3 linked regions of the Alligator mississippiensis genome follow. Each later gene encodes a partner of the first gene's protein in a complex. Links are inferred from orthologs where the notes say so. Each region holds a gene or a part of one and is shown on either strand. Other genes may lie near its edges.

Region 1 (10,254 bases):
AGAGAGCCAGTGAGGAGGAGAAACATTCCTCTTCATTTCAGGCTAATGTAACACTTCACGCCCCCCACCCTGGTCCACCTGCCCTGGGCAGTAGTGGACGGGAGAACCCTTGGGTAGGGTTCCTCCACAGTAATTCTGTTGAACGGCTGGGGTTTGGTGATGCACCCAGGTCCCACCCAGGCTTCTCCTGCCTGTCTGCAAATGAAGGAAGGATACGCTGATCAGGTCCCCCTCCTGCAGGTAGTCCCTCATGGCCAACTCATCCTCTGCCGATCTCCTCCTCTGGAAAACATAAAGGGACAGAAAGTGACACCCAGCCTACAAACGGTAAGACCTAACCAGTCCCCAGCCTAATTCGTCCTTCCATCTATCACCCAGGTGAAGCTAGAGAGAACAGGTTCCTTAGATCATCAAGGACAGCACCCACCTCTCCGTTTTAACCCTGCCTGCCTCTCCACATAGATCACACAGCCTCACCAGGGAGGCCCTGCAGCTGAAAGCTTCTAGTCCAGGCAAGGTGCCAGACAGTGTATCAGAGGACCATCCCTGAACCAACAAGGGCGAGGGGAGCAGACAGGATGAGAACCAGCAGACCTTTCCTAGCTCGGTGCCACAATCCCAACGTGATGTAAAATCAGTGACAGCCTAGAGGTGCCATGTAACGGATGCATCTTTCCCAGGGGATGCTGTACTGTGAGTTTTAGCTACATGGAACTCACCCGACAGGGCACGCTAGCTCACGACGGAAGGGCCTTGCTCCCTTCTCCTCCATGCTAATGCCCCCTCAGCACAGGCTCAAGCGTGCAACTTCTCTCAGGGGAATTCTGCACACCACAGCTTTCATCTGGGACCTGGGGCTGCTCCTGCCCTCTCTCCAAGGCCAGACTCAGTCCCATGCAACACTGATGCATGAACTAGCTCCATATGGATGCTACAACTCTCAGCAGCCACTGGGAAAAGAGTTTTGCCGCCTCACAGAACACCTCAGCGCCCTGCTCCTTGTCTCAGCTGGTTGCAAATGGCATGAAAGGAACACAGCATCATACAAGCTGGACTTCTACTCACCAGCTCCCCTCCCGGCAGATTCATGGATGAGAGAAGCAAGACTGAATCCAGCCTGGAGTTTGTCTCCACCTTCCACCGTTTCTGCTGCACCTAAGGCGGGAAAGAGAAAGGTGGGAGAAATTCCTCTGGCTGGATCGCCAAGAGGACCTCTCTCCGTCCAGCAGGACCCTCAAGAACGTAACCCAGCCCATGAACAAATCAGAATCACAGAAGTAGGGTGGGAAGGGACCTTGTAGATCCTCAAGTCCGACCCCCTGCCTGGGCAGGAGAAAAACTGGGCTCAAGTGACCCCAGCCAGGTAGGCATCGAGCCACTTCTTAAAGACCCCCAGGGTAGGAGCCAGCACCACTTCCCTTGGAAGTTGGTTCCAGATCCTAGCCACCCTAACTGTGAAGTAGTTCCTATGGATGTCTAACCTAAACCTACTCTCCAACAACTTGTGGCTGTTATTCCTTGTTATCCCGGGGGGCACTAGGGGAAACAAGGTCTCCCCCAAACCCTTCTGGTCCCCACTAGTGAGTTTATAGATGGTCACAAGGTCCCCCCTCAGTCTTCTCTTGTGAAGGCTGAACAGGTTCAGGACGAGGAATAACTGAAGATCTGTCTTGTTCTCAGCACACATGAACAAAACTAGTGCCCTTCACTTATGGTGGGAGTGCCTGATTCATGTTAGGGCATAACGCCCTGCCAGTTCCAATATGCTATTTACAGCGTAACAAACTGATCATCAGTGTAAGAGCTAAGTGCTTAAATACCCTTTCAGCGCTACTGCCTACTTCGTAAATTACCTGTGCTTTCTAACTGCCCCAGAGACAGAGGAAGGGAAGCTGCTGTCAAAGGGCTGCTATTTTAAGCCTTGAAAATAAAGCAGATAGCTGGTTTCGTGGCTACTGTTGCCCCTCCTTTTCAAGGCTTTTAATAGCAGTCCTGAAACTATCAGACTTGGAAATGAAAAGAGCCTGCCAGTTTCAGGGCTGCTAATGCCACGGCACTGAGAGCTGCTGTGTGCTGCTGAGCACTGATCAGCTCCAATACAATTCCAGGTAAGACTTTTTCAGTCTCAAGGCTATTCTCTTAAACTCAGTACACTCTAAACCCACCTCCTACGCCCCAGAAAGAGTATTCCTGGGGGAGCAGATGTAGCACCCAAAGCTACTTGTCATCTCTGGCTTTTAAATCACTGGTTATATTAAGAACTTCCTAGTAACCAAGGAGGCCAGTGCTGTCCTGGTTTCAATGACGCGTCATGCTTTGCTCAAGGTCTCTCAGCAGCACAACCTGGAACCAAACTCAGGGGTTTAGGCCATGCCAGTACAGCTACGGGCTGAGCTTCCACAGCCTTTATGGCCAGACCGTAAAAGATCTGATTGCTTAAGTTGCTGGGTGCACCTTGGATCAGACACCCAGCCACAAATGACAGTCTGGTGGTTATCTTCCCCCTTGGCTAGGGTTGTGCCCAGGAGCACATCTGATTTATAACATGTAGGATAAGGGTAACTGGGACAATATTGTGTATCAGAGAAATCAAGTCATTCATACAAAACAATGACTAGAAACCTCTGGGCACTTTACCTCTGTGATTCTCCCAACCACGATGTCGCCAACTTCACCGTTATACCTGGGCGCAAGAAAAAAGGGAAACTGTTCACACTGGATGCAGAAACCCCTCTCAATTCAGATCCCCTTATCACTACCACGGTAATTAAACACAAGCAGGGCTGAGCTAGCACAGGTCCCAACAGCACAACCTGCTTCAACTCTAGCACAGTGCCCCAATACAGAGGCTTTTTTCCAGCAAGTTTTAACTGAGCTCAGCAGAGGTGTAAATGAATTAAATTTGCTGGGCTCTGCTACCTGAGAGGTCAGAGCGGACAATCGTGAGGTCCCTCCAGGTTTTAACAGTGACAAGCAATGTGGGGCCTGATATCACGAGGATCAGAATAGGATGCAATTTAATAAAGATAAGTGCAAAGTGCTGCACCTGGGGAGAAAGAATCACCAATACGCCTCCAGACTGGGAAGTACCATTCTAAGTATCACAGCAACGGAAAGGGATCTCGGAGTCATAGTCAACACAAAAATGAATACGAGTCGCCAATGTGACGAGGTAATAAGTAAGGCTAACTGCACTGTCTTGCATGAGCAGGTGCAAGCAGGTCTAGGGAGGCGATACGTCCCTTCTATGCGGCATTGGTGAGGCCACAGCTCGAGTACTGTGTCCAGTTTTGGGTGCCGCACTTCAAGAGGGATGTAGATAATCTGGAAAGGGTTCGGAGGAGGGCTACTCATATGGCTGAGGGCCTGCAGGTAAGATCCTACAAAGACAGACTGAGGAACCTGAATCTCCTCAGCCTCGCAAGAGAAGGCTGAGAGGTGATCTTGTGGCTGTCTATAAGCTCATCGGGGGGGCGGGGCGGCAGGGAATAGGGGATGCTGTGTTTACCAGGGCGCCCCTCGGGGTTACCAGAAACAACGGCCACAAACCGTAAAGGAGCAGATTTAGGTTGGACATCAGGGAAAAAATCTTTACGGTGAGGGTTGCCAAAATATGGAATGGGCTTCCCAGGGAGGTGGTGCTTCCCCTACCTTGGAGGCGTTTAAAAGGAGAGTAGACAAGCACCTGGCTGGGGTCACTTGACCCCAGCGCTTCTTCCTGCCCAGAGCAGGGGATCGGACTCGATGAGCTAACAGGTCCCTTCCAACCCTAGAAACCTATGAAATCACCTCTCTGGTTATGGTAGTTGGATGTAGCTGGCAAACGTGATCGCATCCAGTTTAGCAACCTTCGCCCTACCGGTTTCCGCTGCAGGGCGCACGCAGAGACCCATCCCACCCCCACCTCCAGCACCCTTCAGGGGGAAGGGGGAGACCCGTCCCACCCCACAGCGATACCCGGGCTCCGGGTGGGTCCAGCCAACACCTCGTGCGTCCTCGACCGACGGCGCTCACCTGGTTTTCAGGGCTTTGACACAGATCAGCTTGTTCACTCGCTCCACCGCACCCGCCACGGACGCCACCAGCTTCTCCTCGCCCATGTAGGTGCCGTGGCCCCTGCCGAGGAGAGAGCAGGTGACGCAGGGGGCCAGGAAGGCTCCCCCCACTCCAACATGAAGCAGGCTGGGGTGGACCCCTGCCAAGGGGGTCCCACGCGTGAGCAATGGGGTGGAGGTGGTAGGGCAGGGGGTAACCCAGGGACCCCCCCACACTGGTGCGAGCTGGGGGCCACCTGGCAAAGCAGCAGCTCTGCAGAAAAGGACCTGGGGTTACAGCAGACACGAGGTACCCCCCAGGGCAGCAGCAGAGGCCCCATCCCATGCACCCCCCCTCCCCAAAAAAATACCCCAGAGGACATTAGGAAGCCTGCCCCTCCCCACCTCATGTAGCCCGTGTCCGTGGTGATCGTGTCCCCCGGCGCCACCAGGTCCCTCCCGCTGCCCCGCGCCAAGTCCTGGCCCACCAGCTTGCGGGCCACGGGCAGCCGGACCTCCATAGCCGCCATTCCGACTCCTGGCGGCGCGGCAGCTTCAGGCCCCTTGGGCTCCACGGGTTTCCCGCCGCCATGCCAACTGCTGGCAAGAGCACGTGTGCGGGCTCCCCGCGTCGCCATCTTGGGGAAGGGCGGAGCGGGCGCAGGGAAGCCATGTTGGATCCGGGCAAGGAGGGCGGAACGGCCTTCAGTGCGTTGGGTGTTGAGGGAAGGCGAGAGGGTGGGTCCATCTTTAGTGCTGGCAGGAGCTGGAAGAGCTCTGGTGCCCCCCAGTGCTGGCTGTGGGGAGCTCCCCGGGGGAGGTCACAGAGATGCTCCAGCTTTGCCCCCAGGGGCAGGGGGCTCACAGGGGCAAAGCTGGCTCAGGCTCCCCCTTGCAAGGGGAGAGCCTTGCAGGGAGGGAAAGTGTCCAATCCCACCAGGAAAAAACTGGGGCAAGCACATAAGAGCCAGCCCCTCGCCCAGCCCGCTGCCATTGCCCTGCTTGGTCCTCATCTCCAGCCAGTGCATTTACTCCTCCAGCGCAGGACGGTTCGGACAGGCCTCAGGCAGGCGCTCGGACTAGATGTGGCCTCTGGAGGTCGCTCCCGGCCCGACTCCTCTACGAGCCTATGAATAAGCAAGAAAGCATCCGGCCCTCGTGCGCCCGACGGGACAGGGCTCTCACGCTGTCCTGCATGAGGCTGGGTCCCTTGGGAGAGCCTGCAGGCATCGTCCTGCCTGCCGGATGGTGAGCACCGTGCACCACAGCTGCATAACGCTCGGGTTGAGGAGGCACCGAAACACCCTCTGCATGTCTGATCCAAAAGGTTAAGCTGCTCCGGACATAAAAAGCCTGGCCTAGATCCTCCCACCGGGCCAACAGGCTCTGCGCAAGCCTGCGCTAGCGTTCGCCAGGCCTGCGCTGTGTTATAACGATGGGCATGTGGTTGTAAAGGCAAGTGCTGGCCAGAAGGAAATGGGAAATGGGCGCCGTCCAGTGCACTTCTGTGTTAAGGACCTGTTTGCTGTGACTGAAAACCTGAGGCTTGACGCCTTTCGTTTGCACAGGTGCTGGTGCACACGTGAGCATTGGGGGGGTGTACATGTGTGCAAATGATTTTCCTCCTATTCCAAAGACCACTCTCTTTCAAGATGCAAGGATCATCCTAGACAAACGGCAGGTCAGGACTGATCAGTGCTTTGTCTTAACTGTGCAGTGCAGTAGGGTCAGAGAGAGCAGGGTCAGCGGCATTTTTGATCATTAGGTCTGACCTCGTGCATTGCACGGGCAAGGGCTCGCCTTCAAGGGACTGCTGCACCTTGTGGCTGACGGTGTCTTTTAGGAAGGCATCCAATCTTGCTTGACCCCAAGCAGCAGCAAATCTCCTGCTTCCCATAGCAAGCTGTTTTAATGGTTTGACCCCCAAGCAGCAGCAAATCTCCCCTGCCCTTAGCAAGCTGTTCTGCTAGCTAAGGATACACGGGTGGGAACTTTTGTTCACTTCACTCCAACACAGTGAAGAGGCATAAAGGACGTAAAAAGGGAGTAAAAAGCAAGGTAGAAAAAGGAAAAGGGAAGTAAAAAGGCAAGAAAAGAAAGTAAAAAAAGGAAAAGGGAAGTAAAAAGGAGAAAAAGGAAGGTAAAAAAAGGAAAAGGGAAGTAAAAAGGCAAGAAAAGAAAGAAAAAAAGGAAAAAGGAAGTAAAAAGGAAAAAAAGAAAAAGGAAATAAGGCAAGAAAAGAAAGTAAAAAAAAGGAAAAAGGAAGTAAAAAGGAGAAAAAGGAAGATAAAAAAAGGAAAAGGGAAGTAAAAAGGCAAGAAAAGAAAGTAAAAAAAGGAAAAGGGAAGTAAAAAGGAAAAAGGAAGGTAAAAAAAGGAAAAGGGAAGTAAAAAGGCAAGAAAAGAAAGTAAAAAAAGGAAAAAGGAAGTAAAAAGGAGAAAAAGAAAGGTAGAAAAAGGAAAAAATAAAAAGGCAATAAAAGAAAGTAGAAAAAGGAAGTGAAAAAGGAAAGTGGGAAAAGGAAGTAAAAAGGCGAAATAAGGAAAAAAAAGACAAAAGGAAGTAAAAAGGAGAAAAATCCAAGGACCCCCTTCTCGTCGCTTCCCTGTGCCAAAGCCAGCATCAGGCTGTCCTAAAATACAGCAAGGAAGAAAAGTGCCTAACGATTCACCATCTAAATGGTAAATGTTCCAAGTAATTTTTATTTAGAATACAAGAGAGAGCGTGGTACAAAGGTATTTACAGCTGTGTACATATACAATCAAATAATATATAATATCAAAGTTTTGTAAATAATGTTTTACATAAATATGTACAAAGTTAAAGTGACAGTTGTTTTCTGGAAGTAAAACACAGTTTGTGAAAACTCTATACATCTCATACTTAGAATTAATATTATAATAGCTTCTCTTCCACGTTATTTTACAAATCCCCCTCTTTGCCTGGGTTCGTGACTGCGGCAGGCCTCCAGGAGGCGCTTCAGACTGCGTTCGGGTTGGGACTTGCCCAAAGGATGGGTTTCTCTCTGGTCTCCAGAGGGCAGTGGAGGGAACAGTTTCAATGGTCCCTAAGGAAAAGAAGGGTCTGCTGAAGGACCAGCGTGGAGGGGTGGGGAAGAGCTGAGGAGCTGAAGGAGAAGCAAGACCAGGCGTGTGTGTGCAGATGAAGGGCTTGCACCCTGGGCAAGGGGAGCCGTGCCCGCTGGAGGTGCCTCCACCCGAAAACATCCCATGTGGGAGCTGCACCAGTGCTCTTGGCAAAACACAGGCGTTGCATTTCCTGAGAGCACTGCTGGGCAAATCTTTTACCAAGGGACTGGCGCTGCACCTGCCTGGGCAGACCCTCAGCCCTGGGCACCGTCTGCCTGATTTCACATGTGCAGAGTTGACTGGAAAAGCTGGGGGCATGATTCTGGAGGCTGGGTTGAAGTCTCTGGGAAGGTTTCCCACCCCCCAGACACAGCAGAGCATCCCCGGCGGCGCTGACCTGGCAGGGGGACGTTCTAGCTTGCCTGGCAGGAGGCACAAATCAGTCCTCGCTGCAGAGCCTCGGTGGAAAGGAAGCTGCCCAGCATTGCTCATGCTGGAACTGGGGTTCTCCAGTGTGGGCACAGCGTTAAGGCCAAAGCTATCACGTGTTGAAGCAGGTACGGCTGCAAGAACCCCAGCAGAACCGTGCCAGCTCGGGCGATGGGAGTGGGGCCTCCTGTTAGCATTGTCTTGAGTGGAGGGGAAGGAAAGGAAATGGGAATTTTTCTTCCCTTCCTCCCACTGCATGAATTCAAAACCTGGAGGGGGGTGGGGAACCCAGAAACCTGCCTTTTGACTCTACCCACCCACTTCTGCTCCAAGTCTCAGTCCTCAACATATTAACCCTGCCACACTCCTCTGTGCCACTCGCTGCCTAATGGGCAACAAAGAGAGCCCCCAAGCCTCCTCCTTGTCCGGAGACTTAGCTCCCTCTGCCCAGGAGAGACCAGTGAGAGGAGACGTGCTGATGGGACCAAGGGGCTGGGGTGATTTTGTCCCAGTGACACATCACACGGAAGCCACACGAAAAGAGCAATGCTTCAAGGGAGGGGCCCCTCCATCAGCACGCAGCGTCACCAGCACGCCCGCCCTGCCCCTGCTCTCCCCACTGCCAGCCCTGCCCCCAAGGGCTGATGCCAAACAGCTCATCGACAACCCCTCCGTACCAGTCTCCGGCAGCTGGCAAGAGCTGCCCCAAACCTGGCCATCAGCGGGGGCTCACAGCACCATGGTGGGTATGTGATGGGCCAAGGAGGCCGGGTGGGGCACGGGTAAGGCCGGGGAGTGCGACTGCAGGGAGGCATTGGGGGGCCGGTGCCTGGCACTCTTCTGGTGGGCCCGGAGCCCGGCGAGCTGGGAGTAGGCACTTTGGCAGACCTGGCATTTGTAGGGGCGCTCGCCGGTGTGCAGGCGGACGTGGTTGCGGAGGGTGGAGGACTGGCTGAAGCGCCGGTTGCAGAAGCGGCAGACGAAGGGCTTGTCCAGCGTGTGGATGCGCATGTGGGAGCGCAAGTTGCTGCGGGAGTTGAAGCCGCGGTGGCAGATCACACAGCGCATGCGCCCCGTCGTGCTGGCCCCGCTGTCCACCGCGTGGAAGTCCTCTGCGTGACAAAGCACACGCCGCAGGGGTCAGTTGCCACCCTCGGCCCTGGAAGCCCCAGGGACCCCTGAGCCTGAGCCACTCGCTCCCCTCCTTGTGCCTTGATGACGTGGCCTCTACATGTGGGGTGAATCAATCACCGAGAAGCACCTGTCACATCAGCGCCATGCTGCTCCTGCTCTCCAAGGAGCACTGTGTGCATTGGGGCACTGACAAATGAGGCCTCCCACCCCCGGGGAGGAAGCCATCATCCTCTCCTTGGTATAGGTCACAAGCCTGGCTGTGGGGGTAGTGGGGAGGCCAGAATAGGAGCCAGGAGGCCTGCCGTGCTGCCCCTAGCAGTTAACTTTGGATCACTGGTGCTGAGCCCACTGGCCCTGCTTTCTACCATGTCCTTCCCAGGGGTCTGGTAGATGCCAGCGCGCCAACATCTCCCAAGGATGGAGCAGTGCCATTCTGCCAGGAAAGAGCCTTTCACCCCCACCCTGCCTGAGAACCAGGCTCAGCCTCACTTTGCATGGGATGTGCGTCCAGCAGCATCACTGGCTTGCTCTGCTCTGCTCTGCTCTGCTCTGCTCTGGAGGTGCCTCTGGCTAGAGTAGCCAGGGGTCTCAAGGTCAGGACGTCAGAGCATCGGCAGAGCGGAGCAGGGACCAGCGCAGCAGACGCATGCAGCATCTGTCTGCCAGCTCCAGCCAGCACATCCAAGCCCTCCTAGCCCTCAGCCCCATGAGAAAGCCATGGAGGTGGAGGCAGGGCTTGGCTGTGGGGAGCAGCTGGGGATGGAGGTCCCAGCTGGCAAGAGGACTCACACCCCTGCTCTTGTCGTTCTCTGGTGGAGGAAGGGGGAAGCCTGGGCTGCCTCTGGACCCACCCGCCTGTCTGCAGGCCCTGGCCGTGACGCTGAGAGGCCCACCCTGCTCGCTCAGTGCCCTCAGCGTGCTTCTCTGCCATGCTCCCAGGGTGGTGGCAAGGGAGAGTGACCCTCTGTGAGCCCAGATCACGTCTGTGCCCATGACCCCCTCTTCAGGGAGAGCAGGAGCAGGGGGCTTGGCTGCGAGTGCCACAGCAGGGGCTGCTCCCAATGTCCCCTCCATCCGTCCCCATGAAAACCAGCAGGAGGAAAGAAGCAGAGGATGGGAGAGAGGTCCCTGCTCTGGCACCCTGGGAAAGGAAGGGGTTGCATAGGGTTAATGATGGGGAAATTGGTGAGTCGGACATGAGACCAGGTATGCCTCTCCATCCCCTGGCTGAGCAGGAGTCATCGCCTTCTCCCCAGCACCCAAGGAGGGAAGCATCACTTCACCTCTGGCCTTGGAGGCAGGTTTTCCCTTACAGGCTCAGCAGGCAAAACAGCAGTGTCCCAGGCGAGCTGGTGTGGGGGAAGGCTGGGAAGCGATGCTAAGACCCACCGAAGTCCTGGGGAGCTGCTGATCTTTATGCTTTAAATAGCTGCCTCTCTCTACAGGGCACAGAAGGGTGCTAGAGGTGCCAGCCTGTTGACAGGGACCGGCACAGATGGGCTGGACAACAGGTGCCCGCTCCAGATGCTGAGGTCTAGCTGCACCCCTCCCACCCCCCACAACCTGGC
Region 2 (9,143 bases), on another chromosome or scaffold:
GTCCCCTGGGTGGGGCGGGGCGGGGCGGGGCGGGGCCTGACACCCCCAGCGTGGGTCCCTCCCCGCCCCCCCCAGGGGCTGGGCGCAGCCATCTGTGCAGGTGTCCTCTGCACTGGGCGCCCGGGCCCTCGCGGGCTGCTCTAGAAGTCTGGGGGGGACAGAACCCCTCTGCCCCCCAGTGCAGGGCATTGTGGGAAGGGTCTGGAGGACTCCACGGTGCTCAGATTGCCGGGGGGGGGGGGAGCAGCTGCCCTGACCCCTCACCCCTATGGGGCGCCTCTGCCCCTCTCATAGACAAGTCCGACAGGGGGTTGCTCTAGGAATCTCCAGGGTCCCCTGGTGCAGGGCATTGTGGGAAGGGACTGGAGGACCCCACAGTGCCTGTGTGGGGGAGGGCAGGGCTGCGCTGATGCCCCCACCCTGCTAAGGGCACCTCTCCACCCCTCTGACAGACGGGTCTCTGGATATTGCTCTAGGAAGCTCCAGGACCCAGAACTCACCTGCTCCCTGGTACAGGGCATTGTGGGAAGGGCTTGGAGGACCCTGCAGCACCTGGCTGAGGGGATCAGGGCCTCCCTGCCCCACCCCTTGTCCTTCCAGCTCCCTCCTGATGAGCAGGATGCGGTACCACAAGTGCCTGACGGTGGCACTGGCCCTGGCCACACTCCTCTGCCTGGATGCCTACATCCGCTGGAGCCCGCTGGGGGAGCCCGATCCTGTCCCCCTGCCGCTTGCCACCACCCCTGCACCCCCTACCACCCCGGCGCCCCCACTGCCCCTGCACCACAGCCTGCAGATCCTGGCCAACATGGTGCCCCGGGCAGATGCCTACTGGAACCGGCAGCTGCACCAGCGCCTGGAGGAGTTGGGAGGTGGCAACGGCACCAGCGCCAGCGCTGGCACAGCGGCGTCCCTGGGTGTCCCCGACTGGGCGGCTTACCCAGAGCCCCTGCAACGCTTCGTGAGCCATGGCGCCCGTCGCCACTACCCGCTGCTCCTGGAGCCGTCGCGGCCGTGTCCCCCGGACGGCCCCTTCCTGCTGCTGGCCATCAAGTCGGCGCCGGGCGCCTTCGCCGAGCGCCAGGCTGTGCGGCAGAGCTGGGGGCAAGCGGGCGCTGGAGTCCGCACCGTGTTCCTGCTGGGGGCACCTGACGGGGACGGGGACACCCCGGACATCTCGGGGCTGGTGGCCTGGGAGAGCCGGGCCCACGGCGACGTCCTGGCCTGGGGTTTCCAAGATGCCTTCTTCAACCTGACACTCAAGGGGCTGCTCTTCCTGGGCTGGGCCGGCGCCCACTGCCCCGGCGCCCGCTTCGTGCTGCTGGGCGACGACGACGTCTTCGTCAACACGCCGCGCCTGCTGCAGCTGCTGGCGGGGCTGGGCCCGGGGCCCGTGTACGCCGGGCACGTGATGGCTGGGGCCTGGCCCGTGCGGGCGCCGGGCAGCAAGTACTATGTGCCCGAGAGCTTCTACGCCGGGCCCTACCCAGCCTACGCAGGCGGCGGGGGCTACGTCTTCTCCGGGGCGCTGCTGGGGCCGCTGCAGGTGCTGGCCGGGTTGCTGCCGCCCTTCCCCATCGATGACGTCTTCGCCGGGCTCTGCTTCCGGGCGCTGGGGGTGGCTGCCCGGCCCCACCCTGGCTTCCGCACCTTCGACATCGCGCCCAGCGACCGCGCCAGCCCCTGTGCCCACCGTGCCCTGCTGCTCGTGCACCGGCGCCAGCCCCCCGAGACGCTGCGGCTGTGGAGGCAGGTCCGCGACCCGCAGCTGCAGTGCTAGGATGGTGGGGGGGGGGCTGTGTGTGTGTGTGGGGGGGTGCAGCCTTTCTATGAAGGGGGCATTAAAGGGTGTTTGCGTGCACCTGGCTCTGTCGCTGCTTAGGAGGGGTGAGGGGCTGCAAGTTGGGAGTGAGGGGCACCGGCAGGGCTGGGGTGGGGGAAGTCACGGCAGAGACCTGTCATTCTCCCCCCGCCCTGGGTGCACCGAGGTTCTCATGTCCTCAGCCCTGGCTGGTCCCCGTCCCCCTGCAACAGAGACCTCTGAGCCCAGCTCAGTTCTTACAAACTTTATTGGTGACGCTGCTCCTGGCAGCTCCAGTCCCAGCTCCAGGCCCCCAAGGGTGGGCGGGGGGGAGGCACAACCCTCCTAGCTCCGGGGGCAACAACACCTCCAGCCACTGGCCAAGCGGTGTGGGGAGGACGGGCTGTCCCAGGACCCAGCTCCCCCCCACTGGCAGCACAAGGGGACGGAGGAACAGGAGGTGAGAGTGGAGGTGTGGGTGGGGCCCGACAGGCATGTGCAGGGCTAGGTGGGGTGGGTGAAGCCTGGGGGAGGTAGGGCTAGGTTGGGTGGGTGGGGTTGGCAATAGGGGGCGGAGCCTGCCAGGCATGTGCAGGGCTGGCAGGTCTGGTGAAGGTGGGAGGGGCCTGATGGAAGCATGGGGGAGTGGGTGGGGCCTAGGACTGGGTGGAGTCTGCTAGGCTGCGATGGTGGGTGGCTGGCAAGGACGGCAGAAGGCCTGGTAGAGATGGAGCTTGTTAGGGTGGGTGGGGCCTGAGAAAATGGGCGGAGCCTGCCAGGCACAGGCAGAGCTGGCAGGTAGCCTGGCGAAAGTGGGAGGGGTCTGGAGGTGGGTGGAGCCCAGGGGCGGGGCCAGCAGTCACTTGTCAAAGAGCGCGAGCGGGTAGTGCTCGCCGTAGAGGCGCAGGTGCCGCGCCAGCCCGTCGCGCTGCCGCGCCAGCCCGGGGGGGGTGTCGCAGTACACATCGGAGAAGAGCAGCTGGGGGCTGGGCTTGCGGCGCCGCTCGGCTGCTTCGAAGGCCTCCAGCACCTGGTGGGGACGGGCACAGGTGAGTGCCGCCAGGTGAGTGCCCCCCCCCCGAGGCCCCACCACTCACCTGGCGCCGCGACTCCTTGCGCCAGGCCTTCTCGCGCGCCTCGTCCCACCAGCCGCGGCCCAGCATGTAGTGGCGCAGGCGCGAGATGGGGTGGTCCTGCTTGTCCCAGTAGTCGACCTCGTCCACCGAGCGGTAGGCTGAGCTGTCGTCGCTTGTGCTGTGGTGGCCAATCCTGGGGGCGGGGGCGGGGCTGAGCCTGGCCCTGCCTCCTCCCTAAGCCCTGCCCCATCAGGCCCCTCAGGCTCCGCCCTCAGCCTGGCCCCGCCTCCATCAGGCCCCTGCACCCCCCGCACAGCCCTGCATCCTAGCATAATCCTGCCCCCTTCCAAAGCTCCACCCCCATCAGGACTCAGTTTTCCTCCTGCAACTCCAGCCTGGCTACGTCCCCTCCCTAAGCCCCGCCCTCATCAGACCCCTGGACCCTCAGCATAGACCCGCCTCCTAGCATCTTCCCACCCTCTCCCCAAACTCCACCCCCATCAGGGCTCAACCTCCAGCCTCCCTAAGCCCCGCCCCCACTCACCTGTAGGTCATGGCTTCAATGAGGAAGGGCTGGTTCTCAGCCACGGCGCGCCGCCGCGCCTCCCGTGTGGCATTGTACACGGCGAACACGTCGTTGCCGTCCACGCGGATAGACAGGATGCCGTAGCCAGGGCCACGTGCCACTGCGGGGGAGGCAAATGTCACCACTGCAGCCCTGATCCCGCCCCCGGCCCCCGATCCCAGCCCCGCCCCCCGCGCTACTGACCAATGCCGTCGCCGCGGTACTGCTCGGAGGTGGGCGTGGAGATGGCGTAGCCATTGTTGCGGCAGAAGAAGAGCACGGGGCAGTCCAACGTGGCGGCGAAGTTGAAGCCGGCGTGAGCGTCGCCCTCGCTGGCCGCGCCCTCCCCGAAGTAGCAGATCACGGCGCGATCAGCGTTGTCCCGCTTCATGGCATACGCTGCGCCCACCGCTGGCACCGGGCGGGGGGGAGGGGGGGAGTGAACCAACCCCCCCTCCCAGCAGCCACGTCCCAGCTTGGGGGAAGGGGAGGGAAAGGGGCAAAAGGGCTGCAAGCTGGGAGCGAGGGGCAATGGCGCGGTTGGGGGCTGCAGGGTGGGAGCGAGGGGCAATGGCGCGGTTGGGGGCTGTGGGTCAGGAGCGAGCGGCACCAGCGGGGCAGGGGGGGTCAGGAGGTCGGGAGCGCAGGGGTCTCACCTTGGGGGATCTGGGTGGCGAGAGGGGATGAGATGGTGACGAAGTGCAGGTCACGGGAGCCGTAGTGCACGGGCATCTGCCGGCCCTTGCCGGGGTCGCCGGCGTGGCCGTAGCACTGCGCCATGAAGAGGTCCAGCGGGTACCCCCGGTACATCAGCACCCCTGGGGCACGGCGCCACGTCAGGAGGCACCGTCGTCGACCCCCGCCTCGAGGGGCTGGGGGCAGCCCCCCTGGGGGGGGGTCACAACAGGGCTTTACCTGCCTCGCGGTACTGCCCGAAGACCAGGTCGGTGGGGTCGAGCGCGGCGGCGCTGCCCACGTGGGTGCCCTCCTCCCCGTAGTTAGTCATGTAGAAGGAAATGCGGCCCTGGCAGGGGGGAAACCGAGGCAGGTGGCGCCGGGAGCCCAGCCCGCCCCCCCCCCCCCAAGGGACCCGGGCATCCAGGCGCGCCTCACCTGGCGCTGGGACTCGTACAGGATGCGGTCCATGGTGTTGAGCAGCGTCATGGTCTTGTAGAGCTTCAGCACCGTCTCGGCGGGCAGCTGCGGGCACGGGGGGCGGGGTCAGCGCGGGTGGGCGGCGCCCCGGATCCGTGACCCCGGGGGTCGCGCCCCCTCACCTGGGGGTCCTGGCTGGGGTTGAGGATCTGGCCCTGGCGGTCCATGACGCGGTAGACGGGGATGCCAGCCAGCACGTTGGGCTGGATGAAGTCCAGCGTGTCCACGAAGGCGGCCGAGGCGCCGGGGAACTGGGGGCGCTCCGCCGGCGACGGGAACTCCTCCTGCTGCCTCGCGGCATGCTGGGAAGGGGCGCCGTTACCCATCAGGCCCCGCGGTGCCCCCCCCAGATGATGTCACGGGCCCCCCGAGCTGTGCGGGGAAGGGGTGGGCTCTGCCCTCCATCTACACCCGGGGGGGCTGGTGTTTGGGGCGGTCCCTGTGCCCCCCCCCCCCCCCCCCCGGCACCTCCTGGACCAGGGTGCCCTTGGGTGCGGCAATGTCAAGGCCGCGGGGAGGGGCCAGCTGGGGGAGGGGGGGCACGCCCCCGGTGCGGACCAATCAGTGGCCGAGGCTGGGGGGCGTGCTTGCCACCTGCCCCAGGATGGGGGGGCTGATACCCCTCTGAGCTGCCAGGGGGGCTAAAGCCAGCTCTGCCCCCCCCAAAACAGGGTGGGGGTAACTGCTGGGGGGGCAAAGCTCATCCCGCCCCCCCAGGAGAACCCCTGCCCCACCCCACTGTGGGAGGATTGCCTCCCCACACACGTGACACCCCCCTCGCGTGCCCCCCACCTAGGGGGGATGTGCCCCACCAGGCCCCGCCCCCGCCGAGGCCCCGCCCCGCAGGCCCCGCCCCCGCGCTCACCCCCGTGCGCAGTCCCCGCAGCTGCAGGAGGCGCAGGCCCCTCCGCATGCCACAGGCCGCCGCCATCTTGGTGCGGGCGCGGGGGCCGATGGGAGAAGGGGGAATGGGGGTGTCACCATAGCAACGGCGTGTCTCTGCCCTTTTAGGGAAGCCCCGCCCCCACGGTGGCCCCGCCCCATGCCTACGCGGTGTGCTGATTGGCTAACGAGGAACAACGCCACACCCTGTCAGGGAGAGGGGGCGTGGCTTCGCGCACCCCGCCGCGCTGATTGGCTGGGCCGCGCCCGGCCCCTCTGTCAGGGAGAGGGGCGGGGCCTGCACCCATTGGGCGCCGTGATTGGCAGGGGCGCGTGCTTCTCCGGCCTATCCGGGGTAGGGGCGCCCAAGAGGCGCATCCATTGGCTGCCGTGCGTTCCAGCCCCCCACCCGCCTCGAGGGGCGGGGACTGCGCGTAAGAGACGCTGCGATTGGGCAGGAGCCGCGTTGGGAAGGAGGGGAAGGCTGCCCCGGAAGCGGAAGCTGCGCGTGCGGGCGGCATGGGCTCGGAGCCGGAGCCGGGCTGCGCCCTGCGGCCCTTTGCCGTGGAGCAGGGGCTACTGTCGCGGCCCGACGGCTCCGCCGCCTTCGTGCAGGGTGCGGGGGCGGGGCTTCGAGCGTGGGGGCGGGGCTAAGGGCTTTCCCCGCCCCCGTTGACCCCGGTGCCCCGCAGGCGACACGTCGGTGCTGGCGGGCGTCTACGGCCCGGCCGAGGTGCGGAGCAGCCGCGAGAGCCCCGAGCGCGCCGCGCTGGACGTGCTGCTGCGGCCCAAAGTGGGGCTCCCCGGTGAGGTGACCCCTGACCCCGGGGTCATTCCCCGCCCTCCACCTCCGTGCCGTGGGGGGGAGGGCACGGGCTTCTCCCCATCACGTGACGGGGTGGGGGCGCCTACAGAGGCCTGGACACTTGGGTTTTGCACTGGGGGGTGATGCCCTCCCTGGAGGGTCACGGGGGGCGGGGCTTCCTGCTGACCCTTGACCCCCCGCAGGCGTGTTGGAGCGGAGCCGGGAGCAGATGGTGCGGCGCGCGTGCGAGGCGGCGCTGCTGGGCGAGCTGCACCCCCGCTCCTCCGTCACCCTCGTGCTGCAGGTCGTCAGCGACGCCGGCTCCGTATCCTGCCCTGGGGGGGGCAGAGATGCACCCCCCCTCGTCATCGTTCAACCTCGCCGGGCCCCCTGGGAAGGACGGGGGGTGGGGTGGGGGTGAGGCTGCTCTAACCGCTAGGCCCCGGGGACCGGGTCGTTGGCCTTGACCCCGGGCCCAGCTGCTGTCGTGCTGCCTGAACGCCGCCTGCCTGGCGCTGCTGGACGCGGGGCTGCCCCTGCGCTCGCTCTTCTGCGGGGTCACCTGCGCCCTCGCGCCCGACGGCGCCGTCGCTCTGGACCCCAGCGCCCGCCAGGAGAAGGTGGGGGGGGGTGTAAGGGATGGGGGAGCAGATGGGAGCCGGACGCCTGGATTCTCTGGGAGGGGGGCGATGCCTCGTGCGTGGAGTAAGGGGGGGGCCTAAAATCTAGGACGGGATCGCTCCTTGGTGTGAGGCTGCAGGAGGAAGGGGGGCTGCTGGGGGGCAGAGGGGAGCCTGCACGCCTGGGGTCACACTCTTGCCCCGCAGGAGGCCCGGGCGGTGCTGACCTTCGCCTTCGAGAGCACGGAGAAGAGGTTGCTGCTCTCCACCACGCGCGGGGCCTGCTCTGCCAAGGAGGTGAGCGCCCCCGTCGTCCCCGTTAGGCTGGGGGTGCTCGGCAATCCCAGCATGCCTTGGGTGGGGTCCTGTCTCCTGGGGGGGAGGGGCCTGGCTGCCTGCCTGCCTGCCTGTACTGGGGTCCTAGTGCAGCCCTGACCTCTATTCCTCCTCCCAGTTACACCAGTGCCTGGCTCTGGCTCAGCGCGCCACCGACACCATCTTCCAGTTCTACCGTGACTCGGCCAGAAGGAAGTTCTCCAAGAGCTGAGGCCCCTGCGGGGAGCCGGACCCCCGCAGACCCGGGGGGGGGGGGGGCAAGGACATGCCTCAGGGCAGCAATGGGCAGCTGAACTGAAGGTGGGGGGGGGCTGTGGGTCGGGAGTGAGGGGCAGCAGTGGGGGCGGAGGGGTGGGAGTGAGGGGTGCTTCCGCCCAGGGGCTACCCAGTGTTCTGGTGGGATGGGGGGGCCTGCTCTGGCATTGGGGTCCCCAAATAAAGAGCACACGGTCTGTGCTGTTGCCCCCCAGCACCCAAGCATCTGTCTTGTCCTTAATGACACATGTTTTTTGTGGTTGGTTACCTGTGTGTGTGTGTGTGTGTGTGTGTACACACGTATACTGGTGGCTTCCCCATCCCCGGGGGGGGGTGGTTCTCTCCACCTTTCCCTACCCCCACCCCCAGTCTTCCCCTTGGTTCTGGTCACGGGCAGGGGGCGGTGGGTTGGGGGTGAGGGGCACTGGCTGGACTGGGGGGCAGGGGCTGCCAGGGGGTGGTGGGACCTGTGCTCTCCACGGCTGCTGTGGCGCTTGGGGCGGGGGACCCGTTAGCTGCATTTAATGAGCTCTGGGGGTGTGGGCAGCATCCTATCAAGCCTCTGCCTAACAAGCCTGGCGCTGTGGCTGGGCTCTTCGTTTACCGACAGCCCCAGATCTGGCCCGGACCCCTCTCGAAGGCAGGGGTGGAGGCCCATAGGGCTGCCAGGCCGCAGAGCGAGGGTGCTACGTGCAGACCTATCTACCTCTGGGCCTGTGCTGCTGGGGCGCAAGGGAGGGGGAAGTAGGGCCCATCCGTGGCCCTCAGGGCATTGGCAGGGCACCTCGGGCTGCCAGCAAGGCTGTTGCTGGAAAACGTGTCCCCAGGGCCATGGCCTGCCCCAGGTGTACAGTGAGGGGCCGTGGCACCCCACAAAACAGCCACCCTGGGGCTGTGGCACCCCCGGGTGGCTGCCATGGGGCTGGGGCAGTTCCACGCTGGCCGCCCTGGAGCCATGATGCCCCTCTTAAGGCAGCTGAGACCTGTGGCTCCCTCACGGGGGTTTCCATGGCGCTGTGGTACCCTAAAGGTGACGGTGGTACTCTGGGGTGGCTGCGGTGGAGCTGTGGCACCCCCATGAGGGTGGTCATGCACGGCGGCATCCTAGAGTAGCTGCCCCTGGGCCCTGCCACACTCAATATGGCGGCGGAGCCCCTCCCCCGGGCCTGTGACCCACCCAAGATGGTGGCGCTCTCCTATTGCGGCCAATGCTGCTTTGCCACACCCAAGGTGGCGCTGCGCCCGGCCATCGTGCTCCCTTCCCACGATGGCGGCGCTCTCCGTGCGGCAGTTCGACCTCCTCAAGATGGCGGGCAGCGCTCTCTTCCCTTCCTCCCGCTCTCTTGGGCGGGGCTGCGAGTGATACGTCAGCGCGCTCGGTACTCCGACCAATCAGAAGCCGGCATTCCGCAGGGGCCTGCCCGGTTGCCGTGGCAGCGGCATCCGGAAGTGGTCCGGAGTGCAGGGGCGAGTGGAGTCCTGCGGGTGCAGGCGCACGTGTGTGCATAGGGTGAGGGTGCAAGAGGGGTGTGCAAGGGGCTTTGCGCGGTTAGTGTGCAAGGGCGTGTGCACAGGTTGAATATGTAAGGGACGTGCACGGGACAAGCGTGTAAAGGAGTGCGCATAGGGGGAGCGTGCCAGCGGGTAC
Region 3 (11,195 bases), on another chromosome or scaffold:
CAACTCCTAATTCTTCCCATCTGTTTGGTACCATCTATGAGACCGATGATATTACTCTGCACACAAGGACCCAACTCACTAACAAAAATACTGGTAAGCACTCTGTGGCACTAATCCATTTGTCTGAATGGGTCTTTAACTCAATCATCTCAATCTTTATTTATTTTACCCCTCCTTATAGTCTTAATATGCTAGGACTTTTCTTGAAGAGAGGCTTCCCAGCGCTTCTTGCAAAATGCATTCTAATTACCTATTTGATGATTTGCGAAGATTTGCTGCTAAAACTTACTGCACTGCAGCTTCAATGACATGGCAGGAATCTGTTCCTAGAGTTCATGCATTAAGCTCCTATTAGAACAGTTTCAATTTCTCATCTTCTCTGAAGCGAATCTAAACCTTAGATGAGTTTGATCCAGGGCACAGAACAAACAGGATGGCACCATCAGTCATATCTGGACTATTTTAAATGGTCACTTTTTAGAGCACTGCCTCCCTTGCTCCCATGGTTTTTATCCAGTTCATCACAAAGCTCAAATCAAGTGCAATTAATACAACCGTCATGGTTTTACCACAAAAAAAGGGGAAATAGTATTCTGGGATACTACAACAAACAAGGAAGTCTGGCCACGATAAACGCAAAGGAAACTACACAGTTACCATCAAAAGGAAAAGGCAAGTTTTCACATCTATTTCAAGGCAATCTAACAACATTCACATTCACTCAGTCTACTACTCTCTCAGGTAGACTCTATTGGCTCAAAGAGAACAACCCATAGAAAAATGGTGAGATGGACAGCTTCGTCATTACAGTAATCATGAATTTAAGAATGAGTTATTTGTCCTCCTAAAATCTATTATGGCAGCCAGATAAGACAAATATTTTTCTTGGAAACTTCTCACTGGAGTAGCTTCGATTATTGAGCAAGTGATTAAGTAGTTACGCATAGCTTATCTACACAAAACACTGAAATAACACCTTTATTATGAAACAAATGGCAACATACTTCTCATACAGATTAACTGGAAGCCTTCAAAGTAGTTGGAAAAAATTAGATTGATCAAGTGACTAATTCAGGCTCTCACTGCATCAAACTTCTTGCCTCTGGCAAGTTTTAGCAAATGTTCTATCCAAGTACAGCACTTATTCTCATAAGCAACTCCCATTGATTAAATAAAAAAAGCTCATGGTAGTAAGTACTGTACTTGAGCATCTGTACCTTTTGCACTGCTGGATCCTTAATGCATGTGTGGCTGCACTCTTAAAGGCAATGACAAAAAGAAATGTGCGGCCCCACTTTTATAGAGGTGTTTAATAGTCATTAATACAAACACCATTTTTGTGGCTATCATATGCTGTCATTAAGGACAGGAAAATGTCACACTTCCTGGAACCTTGCCCCAGGCTCCTATTATTGTAGACAATAATTTTACTGTATCGTTACAGAACGATATATCATTAGAATTTGAGCGAAAGTACTTTTCTCCTACAGATCTACGATATTTGCATCTTCATCATTTTGAATCCAAACTGCACACAGACTCATTTATATATCTGGAAATACACTTGATCTTATCCAAGTTAAAATCAGAGGGGGTGAGGGGGTGGGGGGAGGAATCTTAAATTTTTGCTGTCCACTGGTCATTGTGCTCAGGAATATTCAAAAGGGACAGCATAGGTGAGAAGAGCACTTGTTCTCTCAAATGTTAGCATTGTAGTAAGCAGGGAGAAACATTAAGATTTAAATTAGGAACTGCCATATCATCATCATCATAAATGTTGTTGTTATTATTATTATTATTATTGTTGTTGCTGGGAAAAGCTCTAAAAAGATTAAAAAACATTTAGAAAGTCAATCAAAATCCTTGTTATTAGCATACAAAGGACCTATCCCTAATCTTTTTCAATTGGTCAGCTCCACTATAAGCACCACAAGTTCCCTCCCGGTTTGACTGCAATGCCGGACTTTGTAACTTTGCTTCATCGAGGCTCAATTCCGTCATCAAAAAGATCCAGAGGAGGTGCTCTTATTTCACGGTTCAAGCAAAGACCTCATTGGCACTTGGCATGGATGCTTGGTTACCCAATTAAATGCCTGGGGCTCCAGGATTTAAATTGCAGGGCAGCTGAATTGAAGGTGCCTTCAGTGACACAAGCATTGCTGGACTGCAGGAGGCCTAAATCATAGCTAATAATAATAATAATAATAATGAGACAAGTGAGGCTGCCTATGGACGATACCTTTTCCTGGACTAACTGCACAGTTGCAATGGACACCGGTGAGCTTGCAGCCATCCCAGAAAGGCACTGTGACCCCTGATGGCTTGCCCACATCCATCCCAACTGTGTGGCTGGTCAATACGACCCGTCCCTGCCCCCCCCAAATTGGTAGGTAGAAGATGAGGGCTGGAAGGGAGGTCGTCTAGCGCAACCCCTGCTCAAAGCAGGGCACATCTGTCTATCTCTACATCTAATCCTTGTGCACCCCCCGGGCGGTGCAGCCTAGCTGTCCTGACGCCTGCAAATAAAGGGGACTTTGGGGACACAGGTGGGCGGGGCGGGGCAGGCCTGGCTGCTGGCTCTGGGCAGGAGGAGCTGCAGCGCCCGCCGCGCCGGACTCAGGGGCCGAGCGGCCGGCAGAGGAAGGCTGCCGGCCGGGGACGGCGGACGGGAAGGCCGCGCCTGGTGCTGGCGGCGGCTCCTCCTCGCTCCCCGCAGCCGCAGCGCCGCCACCTACCGCACCGCCGTCGCCGCCGCTCCCGCTCAGAGCTGCGCCGCTCCAGGCCGCCGCCTGCAGCCGCCCTCCGCCGGCTCCCATCCGCCCGGGGAGGCAGGGCGCGGGGCCCCGCTGCGGTACCTCCTGTTCCCCATCCGCCGGTCCAGGAAGCAGCCGCGCCGGGAAACGCCACACCGCCCGGCCCGGCCCGGCCCGGCCCGGCCCGGCCCGGCCCCACGCGGCGGCGGTGGCGCCTCCCCCTGCCCTGTCAGCTCGGCCGCAGCTCCCCCTCTGGCCCCCGCGCGCGGTCCGCGGGAGCTTACGCGCTCCAAAAGCCCGATAGCCGGGTCCTGGCCGCAGTGGCCTACAGGAAAAGGCAATCGGGACTCGTAGCAGAGGTGGTGTCTTTTATTAGCCCGCCAAAAAAAATATCTTTAATTGCAAGCTTTCGGGCACAAAAAAGGACCTGGATGCCGCGTATCGAAGAGCCAAGTTGCTCTCAGAGAGCCTCGACCCACTTTTGGGTTTGGGGTCAGCACTTTTCTTTTTTTTTACGGCTGTTTGCTGGGCGGTAGGGGTAGAAATGAAATGCTTCAGCTTTAGATGATCCACTTCTGCGCTCCCTCCCTGGCCACTTAATGCAATGCAAAGTAAATAAGAAAAAGACTTGTTTGCATAATTGTTCAGCAAATGCAGTAATTCTGAGCTTACAATACAGTCATATTTAAAACCTGGCAATGCTGCTTCCAGTCTCTTACTCCCAGTCCCTGTTCCCAGGCTCATCTTTACGCAGCTAGAGGTCCGGAGCGATGAATTCGATCCACTCCAGAGCTGGAATTGCATCCAAGTGTCTATTGACAAATCAATCACAATGTAAAATAGTATCAAGTATGTCGGTCTGAATGAGGAGCTAAAAGGAGCCCACGGGACATAGGTGATGTTATTTTACATGCCCCACGGCCTCCTCTCAGCTCCTCATTCAGGCCTATGTTCTTAATATTATTTTACATTTCAATTAGTCAACAGACATTTTGGGGGAAAATCAAACTCTTGAGCACACTGAATTCATTACTCCCGACCTTTAAGTGCGCAAAGATTAGCTTTGAGAAAGGAACCGGGAACAAGGGACCAGGAATAAGGAGACCACATTTGCATCATGGCCGGAGCCATGTCCTCTTGGCCTCTGTGGACCTGTTTGCCTGGATGCCACAGCAGCAAGGCCTCACCTGGGCTCAGGTGCAGACAGCCTCGTGGCAGAGCTGTGTATGGCAAGGAAGGCATTGCCCTGATGCAGCTGCCCAAGCATCACACCCAGCTGTCTCTGCCTCCCCAGCTTGAGGGACTAAGAGTCCATTGAGAGCTGGGAGCTTCCCCAAGGCTAGAGCAGGGCTCTGAAGCTGCAAGAAGATGTGTGTTAACTGCTCTGTTGATTTCCCCCACAAGCAATACAAGGCCTGAGGAAATATGGCTGTGCCTGACCCATTCTGCTTATTTCTTGCATTTCCCCCTTACCTGCTATTGTATTTATTTAAATATTGTTTCTTGGCCTTTTGGCTAAGATCAAGTGGGACATGGGGGCATTTGAACCTGGGGCTTCTGGGCCTGGAGCTTGCACATAGGACACCTGCCTGGATTTTGGGAATATCCAAAGCCCCAGACAGATAAGTCTGGGAGGGAGGATACTTGCTCTGTGGTCGAGCCACACAGACTTGCCGATTAAGTTCTGCTCAGTTGAATTTTGGAACTTGACTATTGGGCCTTGCCCTGTTGAATTTGGAACAGATTTGGCCTTGAGCAAGATAAAATTCTATTTAAATTGTAATAGCGGTCAAGCAGGGGCTGGCTTTTCTGGCTGGATGGTGTCTAGTAGAATGGAGTCTTGATCAGTTGCACTGGAGCATTTAAGATCATGTGGAGGTACCACTTGAGTTTATGTAGTCCAGCCCCTTGCTCAAAGGCAGGAGCATCCCTGACTCATTTAGGTGCTCCTGGGAAACAAAAAATAGACACGTATGTGCAAACACACATGGGTTTGTGCACATGGATGCCCCCATGTTACACCCAGGTTCTTAGCAGCAACTCGTAAGAACAATAGGGAAGGACAATACATATTGCTGTTTGGCCCATGTTAAAAAAAATGCAGAACCTGGCAACCTTTTCTTTGAAACCTCCTCTGTCCCTCAGATTTGGGGGAAGGAGATGAAAAACCACTGTGAGAAACCTGCCCAAAGCTGGCCAAGTTCCAGTGTTGCCAACTCTCATGATTTTTGGCATTGCTGTTAAAGTCTAGGGTTTGGGAATACAAAAACCTTAGCTCTCACACACACGCACGCGCACCCCCCCCCCCCCCGGTTTTCGCATCCCCAAAGCATAGACTTTAAGAGCAACGCCAAAAATCATGAGTTGCCAACACTGAAGTTCTAAACCTTTGAAATACTGCACTTTGCTCATGCTCAGTAGATAAGAAAGCTTCTTTTGACAGTATCACAAAAATGCTAACCACAGTATGCTACTCCTTGAAGATTAAAAAAACACATACATGATGTCCCCCTCAAAAAACCCTATGTTAAAAGAATGTTAAGGTTGCAAAGTCAAAATGCTCAAAATGTAGGAAATTCCGAATGAAGGTAACCTGTCGAAGCTCAGTTTAGCAGCCCGATGGTGCCTGTATCGTTATGACAGTCACTAGCTCTAATTACAGCTTCCTGGCTAGAGCATCTTATTCTTCTGCTCAGGGTCAAATTGATCGCCATATTTGGGGTCAGGAAGGAATTTTACCCCATGATCAGGTTGGTTTGGACTGTGGAAGTTTGTCTTTCTCTGTAGCCCTCTAGTCCCAATCTCTTGAATCTACATTGAGAACATTTCTGTGCCAGGTTAGGGTGCTGGGTCTGTATTCCTTCAGGGTTGATGGTAGTCTTACGTAGAGTTTAGATTATGGTTTGTATAGGGTGGTTTGGATAGGAACGATCCTGCCTCAGGCAGGGGGGTTGGACTAAATGACCTCTGGAGGTCCCTTTCAGCCCTACTGCTCTATGGTTCTATACTATGTATTCCAGATGACTGCCTGCCTCATCCCGTGCCCAAAATAGCAGACTGGCCATAGCAGAGGTGCTCACATTGCAGCCCTGCCAGATTCTAATGAACATGCAAATTCAGCTAAATACCTCTCATCAACAACCTCAGACACGACATGAGAAGCAGAAGTACCCAAAAAGACAGAGCTCATTGGATGAGCTATTCACTACTTCTCCTTTTAGTTCAGTTTGAATCCCTGTGTTTGATTTGTCACACCCAATTCAAGCGCTGCTCTGAAGACAGAGCCATAATTTCCATCTAGGGTTTCCTGTAGGCCATAACAGAAGTGCTTATGGCGCAGCCCTGTCATATTCCAACAAAACTGCAAATTCTGCTAAATACCTTGTCACTAGGACTCAAAAAAGGGGGCTTCCTATAGCTGCTATAGTGTTGCATATGGCATGTAAGCGCATGGTATGCTTAAATGAACTTATTTTAAGGAAATTATTGGGTATTATTATCCCCAGTTCCATCACTGAGGAACCAAGTCTGAGAAATTACGGTCAGACCTATTTACTACTTTTAGGTCCCCCCAGTTTGAGACACCTTGGACACCCCACCCCCCTATTATATAAGGTCTTTAGATGTCCAAAATACAAGTCCCTTTGACCAGGGCTCAAGAAACACCCAAGAAGGAAATCAGTTAGACTACCTGACCTGTGAGAAGCATAAATGAGGTGACCCATAGGATCTCCTGCATCAGTGTTAAAATTCTGCCATCTCCCCACTTTGAGGCATTGTCTTTGTAATCACCATGTTCTTTCAGTGTCCCTGGGGTGTGTGCACGCATGCACCTTCTATGTGACTCACCCGCACCGTGACTCAGTGCAGGCTGCACCTCCATCAAGAGATGCAGCAGGTGAAGCTGCTGGCTTAAGATTCATTTCTTGTCCCCCCTCCAGAGACAGGGACAAGCTGAGTGCTGCTGTGCATAGCTGCAGGGGGTAGCTGTGTTGATCTAAGATCAGGGTAAACAGGGCTCTTTGGGTAAATGTGGTATCTTGCACTGCCCCCTGAGCCTGCCCAGCCAGCACTGCAGGCTCTCACACTGGTTTCTATGTTATGCACTCAGTGGATTAGCGCTCAGAGACTACGATGCGCCATTACGGTGGTAGGCAGGTAAACCGCGTGTGCTCAGCCGCCACCTATACGCACATACGTTTTTCCAAGTAACACGGATGCGCATGCGCAAACCCTCAACTTTCCCTGCGCATGCGCCCAGTTAGTGCCTCACTCCTCACAGTTCCTTGAGGCGGGAGAGCCTGTGACGCAGGGGGCGTCAGTCGTTCCACCACGCGTCACGGGGTGGAAGTTACGTACACCCGATGCTGTGCCTCACGTCGGCTGACAAGGGTTCGAGGAACTTCGTTGCGTTTTGATGACGGCATCCGCAGTGAGCCGGAAGTGTTTACGAGCCGGCGCGGGGCATGGCGTCTGTGGTGCTGAGCGAGGCGGAGAAGGTTTATGTCGTGCACGGGATCCAGGTAACGGGCTCCCCTCCCCCAGTAGCTCCGCCTCGCTGCTCCCGGAGCGCCGCTTCCCCCCTCCCAGCCCCATGGAGGTGCCCGCTCCTGGCTCTCACTCCGTGTGGCCTTCAGGGGCGCGAAGAGACCCCGTGGGCGGACTGGTTTAGGCGCAGGGGATTGCTCTCTGCAGTCCTGGGCTTTGTCTTGTGAGGGAGGGCGGTGGTGCGCTAAATAGTGGGGGAGGGCGCCGGGGCTGTGCACCTTGAAGGCTCACAAACCTGTGTGTGTGCACGTGGGCATAGGTAGGCTTGCTTTGGTGAAAGCTGCCCTGCCTTTCACATCTAGGCATCACAAGGTTTCATTAGCTGAAGTGTGCTTCATAAAGTGCTATGAAAAAGAAGCCAGGCTTTTCACTAGGGGTGCACCAATAAAGACTTTATTAGCTGTTACCCATAGTTAATTATTCACCAGGCATGTCGGATGTTACTGACTTAATAAGTGATTTACAGGAGCACAGCTGGGTGGTCTAGAGAGCAGCGCCCTGCAGGTAAGTCTGGAGGGGAAGGGAAGGAGCGGGGCAGATCAAGACCCCCAAGGTGAAGGAGGGAGCGGGGCTGGGGCTTGCGGCACTGCCCATCCAAATCAGTGACTAGGACCTGGGGCATGGAGTGGGACAGAGCCGCAAGTGGCTTGTCCAGGGTATCAGCATCCTAGTGCTGAAAAATGGTGGTGGGGGCATTTGAACTAAAGCTCATCAAATGAGCTTTAGTTCAAGTGCCACTGCCACCCTTTTTAAGCCCAGAGCAGAGCCAAGCAGGGCAAGGTTGGATGCAGGTTGCCCACTGCAGGCTCGGGGCTCTCCACTCTGCTGCCTTTGCCTGGGAGCCTCACGCTGGCCTCACAATTTGCCACCCTCACTGCTGCCGGGAGGTGCAGGGCTCCTGGGGAAAAGGCAGCAGGGCAGAGAGCCCTGAGCCCACAACAGGCAGCCTGCATCCGCCCTACGCACAAATCTGGAGGGACACATGACCCCACAATGCCCTCTCTGGGGCTTGCACAGTGATGGGGAGCCATCCCACCCCTCCCCCCACACATTCCTTGGACGAGTCACCCATAGCTCCGTCTTGCCCTTGCCCCAGGTCCCATTCACTGCTCTGGCTGGGCAGCATCCCTAATTCCTGCCCCACTCCCTCCCTCACCATGAGGGCCTTGATCTCCCTCCCCCATGCTCTTCCCGCCCACCATAGATTTACTTGCAGGGAGCTGCTCTCCAGGCTGCCCGGCCACATTCCTGGCCATGTGTATGCGTGTGGCCATGCATATGTACGCGGCGTAAGGGAGTCCTGGCCAGAAGGCATAATTATTATATTTATCAGTGAACTTTATCAGATGCACCGGACCAAAAAAAGCCAATAGCTGATAATGTAAACTTCTTTTTTATCGGTGCCAATCTGAAATGCAGCTGATATATTAGTGCACCTCTACTTTTCACAGTGTCTGATAAAAGTGCACTTTAGCTCATGAAAGCTTGTGTTAAATATACATGAAAGGCAGGGTAGATTTGTGCTAAATATATTACAGGCATAGTAGAAATATATGTGACTCACCCTGCATCTCGTAGACTCACCAAAGTATGTATGCACATGCATGCATGTGCGCATCCAGTTTCGTGAGTCTACAAGGTGAAAACCTCTCAACATACATTTTTATCCCACTTTTTATGTATATTTAGATATGAGCCAACAGTGTGCCCTTGTTGCCAAGGAGGCTAACAGCATCCTGGTCTGCAGTAGTAGGAGTGTTACCAGCAGATTGAAGGAAGTGATTATTTGCTTCTTCAGCACTGGTGAGGTCACCTCTGGAGTATTGTGTTCGGTTTTGGGCTTCCCACTACAGAAAGGATATGGACAAGTTGGAGAGAGTTCAGTGGAGGACAGTGAAAATGGTTAGGGGGCTGGGGCACAGGACTTGAAGAGAAGCTGGGGGAGCTGGGTGTATTTAGTCTGCAGAAGAGAAGACTGAGGGGGGATTTTATAGCAGCCTTTAACTACTTGAAGGGTGGTTCCAAAGAGGATGGAGCTAGACCAGGGATGGACAAAATATGGCCCATGGCCCGGATCCGGCCCATGAGGCCATTCTATCCAGCCCATGGGGCTCCTAAAAAATTTAGAAAATTAATATTTATCTGTCTTTAGTTCATGTCAAGAGTAACTGGAACCAGGGCCAGTAGGTCCCAGGGGAAGCCCAGTGGGCTCCTGCCCCAGCAGGGGCTTCTGACCTGGGACCATGTGGCTGCACTGGCCAGAACCTCAGGTAAGGGGTGTGGGGGAGGGCAGGGAAGGAGCCTGGAGAAAAGTGGTCCCTCCCCAGCCCCATGGGCAGTGCTCCCTGCTGCAGCTGCTTGCAGCCCGCACAGAGCTGTCCTGAGCAGGCAAAGGCAGCCCCACGCAGACTGTGAACAGCTGTGGTGCAGGGCATCAGGCACAGAGTGAGGGAGGGGCCTCTTGTCCCCACTCTTGTCCCTTGGTGCTGCGTTCAGCACCAGCTTGTAACCCACCCCCACTGCCAGCCTGGGTCCCGCGCCAGTTCTGGGCTTGCCCTTTGGGGCTGTGCACAGTGGCAGCAGCTGTGCCCACCCCGCCCCCTGCCCAGAGCTTCCGCACTAGGCAGCCCAGAGGCAGTGGTGGTAAACACCGCTCGGCTCAGCAAGCAGGGGGGGCTGCAGCTGCTGCCACCAAGGCACAGCCCCGACGGGTGAGCCTGGAACCAGTGTGGGGCCCCAGCTGGTAGCAGGGGTAGGTTACAAGCTGGTGCTGAGCACGGGAAAAGCAGCCCCTTCCCTGCCCCATGCCCCGTGCCCTGGGGGCAGGGGAGGGGGCCTGCTTTTCCCCCACACGCAGCGCCAGCTCATTCCCTGCCATGGAGCAGGGGGTCGGGGCTGTACACTGCTCCCTGCCTGTACCATGGGGCTTAGGGGGCACTGGGAGTGAGCGGGTACACAGGGCCCACACTGGTGTCCTGGGGCCAGTGCCGGCAGGGCCCAGAGCAGGACAGCAGGAATACAGGGGTCCCGGGTAGCAGGGGCTCTGTGGAGCCAGGCCAGCTCCCCACTCCCTGCTGGTGCAGCCCAATCCAGCTCCACAGACCCCTGCCAGCCTGCTCCCTGCTCTGGGCCTCACCGGCACTGGCCCTGAGACATTGGGACATTGGTCCCAAGATGGTGACCAGGGGGCAGGGCACCTGTCAAGGAGCGGGGCTACCTGTGTGGCCCTTGACAGCTTGCCAAAACTGGGTAATTGGCCCTCCGCCTGAAATAATTGTCCGCCCCTGAGCTAGACTGTTTTCAATGGTGGCAGATGGCAGAACAAGGAGCAGTGGTCTCAAGTTGCAACAAGGGAGATTTAGGTTGGATATTAGGAAAAGCTTTCTCACCAGGGTGTTGGTGAAGCACTGGAACAGGTTACCTAGAGAGGTGGTGAAATTTTCATCCTTGGAGGTTTTTAAGGCCCGGTGCAACAAAGCCCTGGCTGGAATGATCTAGTTGGGGATCATCCTGCTTTGAGCAGCTGTTTGGACTAGATGACCTGACAGCCCCTTCCTCCAACCCTAATTTTGTATAGTTCTGTGATTTACCACAAGCTTTTGTGAGCTGAAGCTCACTTCAGGATGCCAGGCTTTTCACAGCAACTGATGAAGTGCAGTTCAGCTCACAAAAGCTTGTGCTAAATATATGGGAAAGGCAGGGTAGCCGTGCACCTTGTAGGCTCACAGAATTCTGCACATGTGCCTGCATGCATGTACACACACACATGGCTGAGTCTACAAGATGCAAAACTAGCCTCCCTTTCCCATATATTTAGCACAAGTTGAAGTGCACTTCATCAGGTACTATGAAAAGGAAGCCAGGCTTAGCTACCCTGCCTTTCAAGTATATTTA

What was found. Proteins that work in one complex are often made in the same cells at the same time.
Region 2: EXOSC2 (region 1) and EXOSC5 share a complex: the UniProt entries of both Homo sapiens proteins name them as parts of the RNA exosome core complex. The link is inferred for Alligator mississippiensis from reciprocal best matches to the Homo sapiens genes EXOSC2 and EXOSC5.
Region 3: EXOSC2 (region 1) and EXOSC7 share a complex: the UniProt entries of both Homo sapiens proteins name them as parts of the RNA exosome core complex. The link is inferred for Alligator mississippiensis from reciprocal best matches to the Homo sapiens genes EXOSC2 and EXOSC7.

Annotation. Positions count from the first base shown.
Region 1 is NC_081835.1:59,317,249-59,327,502, reverse strand, and holds the start of EXOSC2 (exosome complex component RRP4), read right to left. Parts: upstream 4,688-10,254; 5' UTR 4,673-4,687; coding exon 4,440-4,672; intron 4,117-4,439; coding exon 4,015-4,116; intron 2,684-4,014; coding exon 2,638-2,683; intron 1,156-2,637; coding exon 1,066-1,155; intron 283-1,065; coding exon 217-282; intron 1-216. Other genes in the region: PRDM12 (PR domain zinc finger protein 12), read right to left, coding at 8,282-8,664. UniProt on the Homo sapiens protein: Non-catalytic component of the RNA exosome complex which has 3'->5' exoribonuclease activity and participates in a multitude of cellular RNA processing and degradation events.
Region 2 is NC_081838.1:1,543,848-1,552,990, reverse strand, and holds EXOSC5 (exosome complex component RRP46), read left to right. Parts: upstream 1-5,948; 5' UTR 5,949-5,998; coding exon 5,999-6,095; intron 6,096-6,171; coding exon 6,172-6,285; intron 6,286-6,487; coding exon 6,488-6,609; intron 6,610-6,763; coding exon 6,764-6,904; intron 6,905-7,111; coding exon 7,112-7,201; intron 7,202-7,358; coding exon 7,359-7,451; 3' UTR 7,452-7,496; downstream 7,497-9,143. Other genes in the region: B3GNT8 (UDP-GlcNAc:betaGal beta-1,3-N-acetylglucosaminyltransferase 8), read left to right, coding at 611-1,780; BCKDHA (2-oxoisovalerate dehydrogenase subunit alpha, mitochondrial), read right to left, coding at 2,661-2,831, 2,899-3,070, 3,422-3,563, 3,647-3,853, 4,099-4,260, 4,358-4,466, 4,556-4,642, 4,720-4,899 and 1 more. UniProt on the Homo sapiens protein: Non-catalytic component of the RNA exosome complex which has 3'->5' exoribonuclease activity and participates in a multitude of cellular RNA processing and degradation events.
Region 3 is NC_081828.1:136,666,111-136,677,305, forward strand, and holds the start of EXOSC7 (exosome complex component RRP42), read left to right. Parts: upstream 1-7,048; 5' UTR 7,049-7,219; coding exon 7,220-7,276; intron 7,277-11,195. UniProt on the Homo sapiens protein: Non-catalytic component of the RNA exosome complex which has 3'->5' exoribonuclease activity and participates in a multitude of cellular RNA processing and degradation events.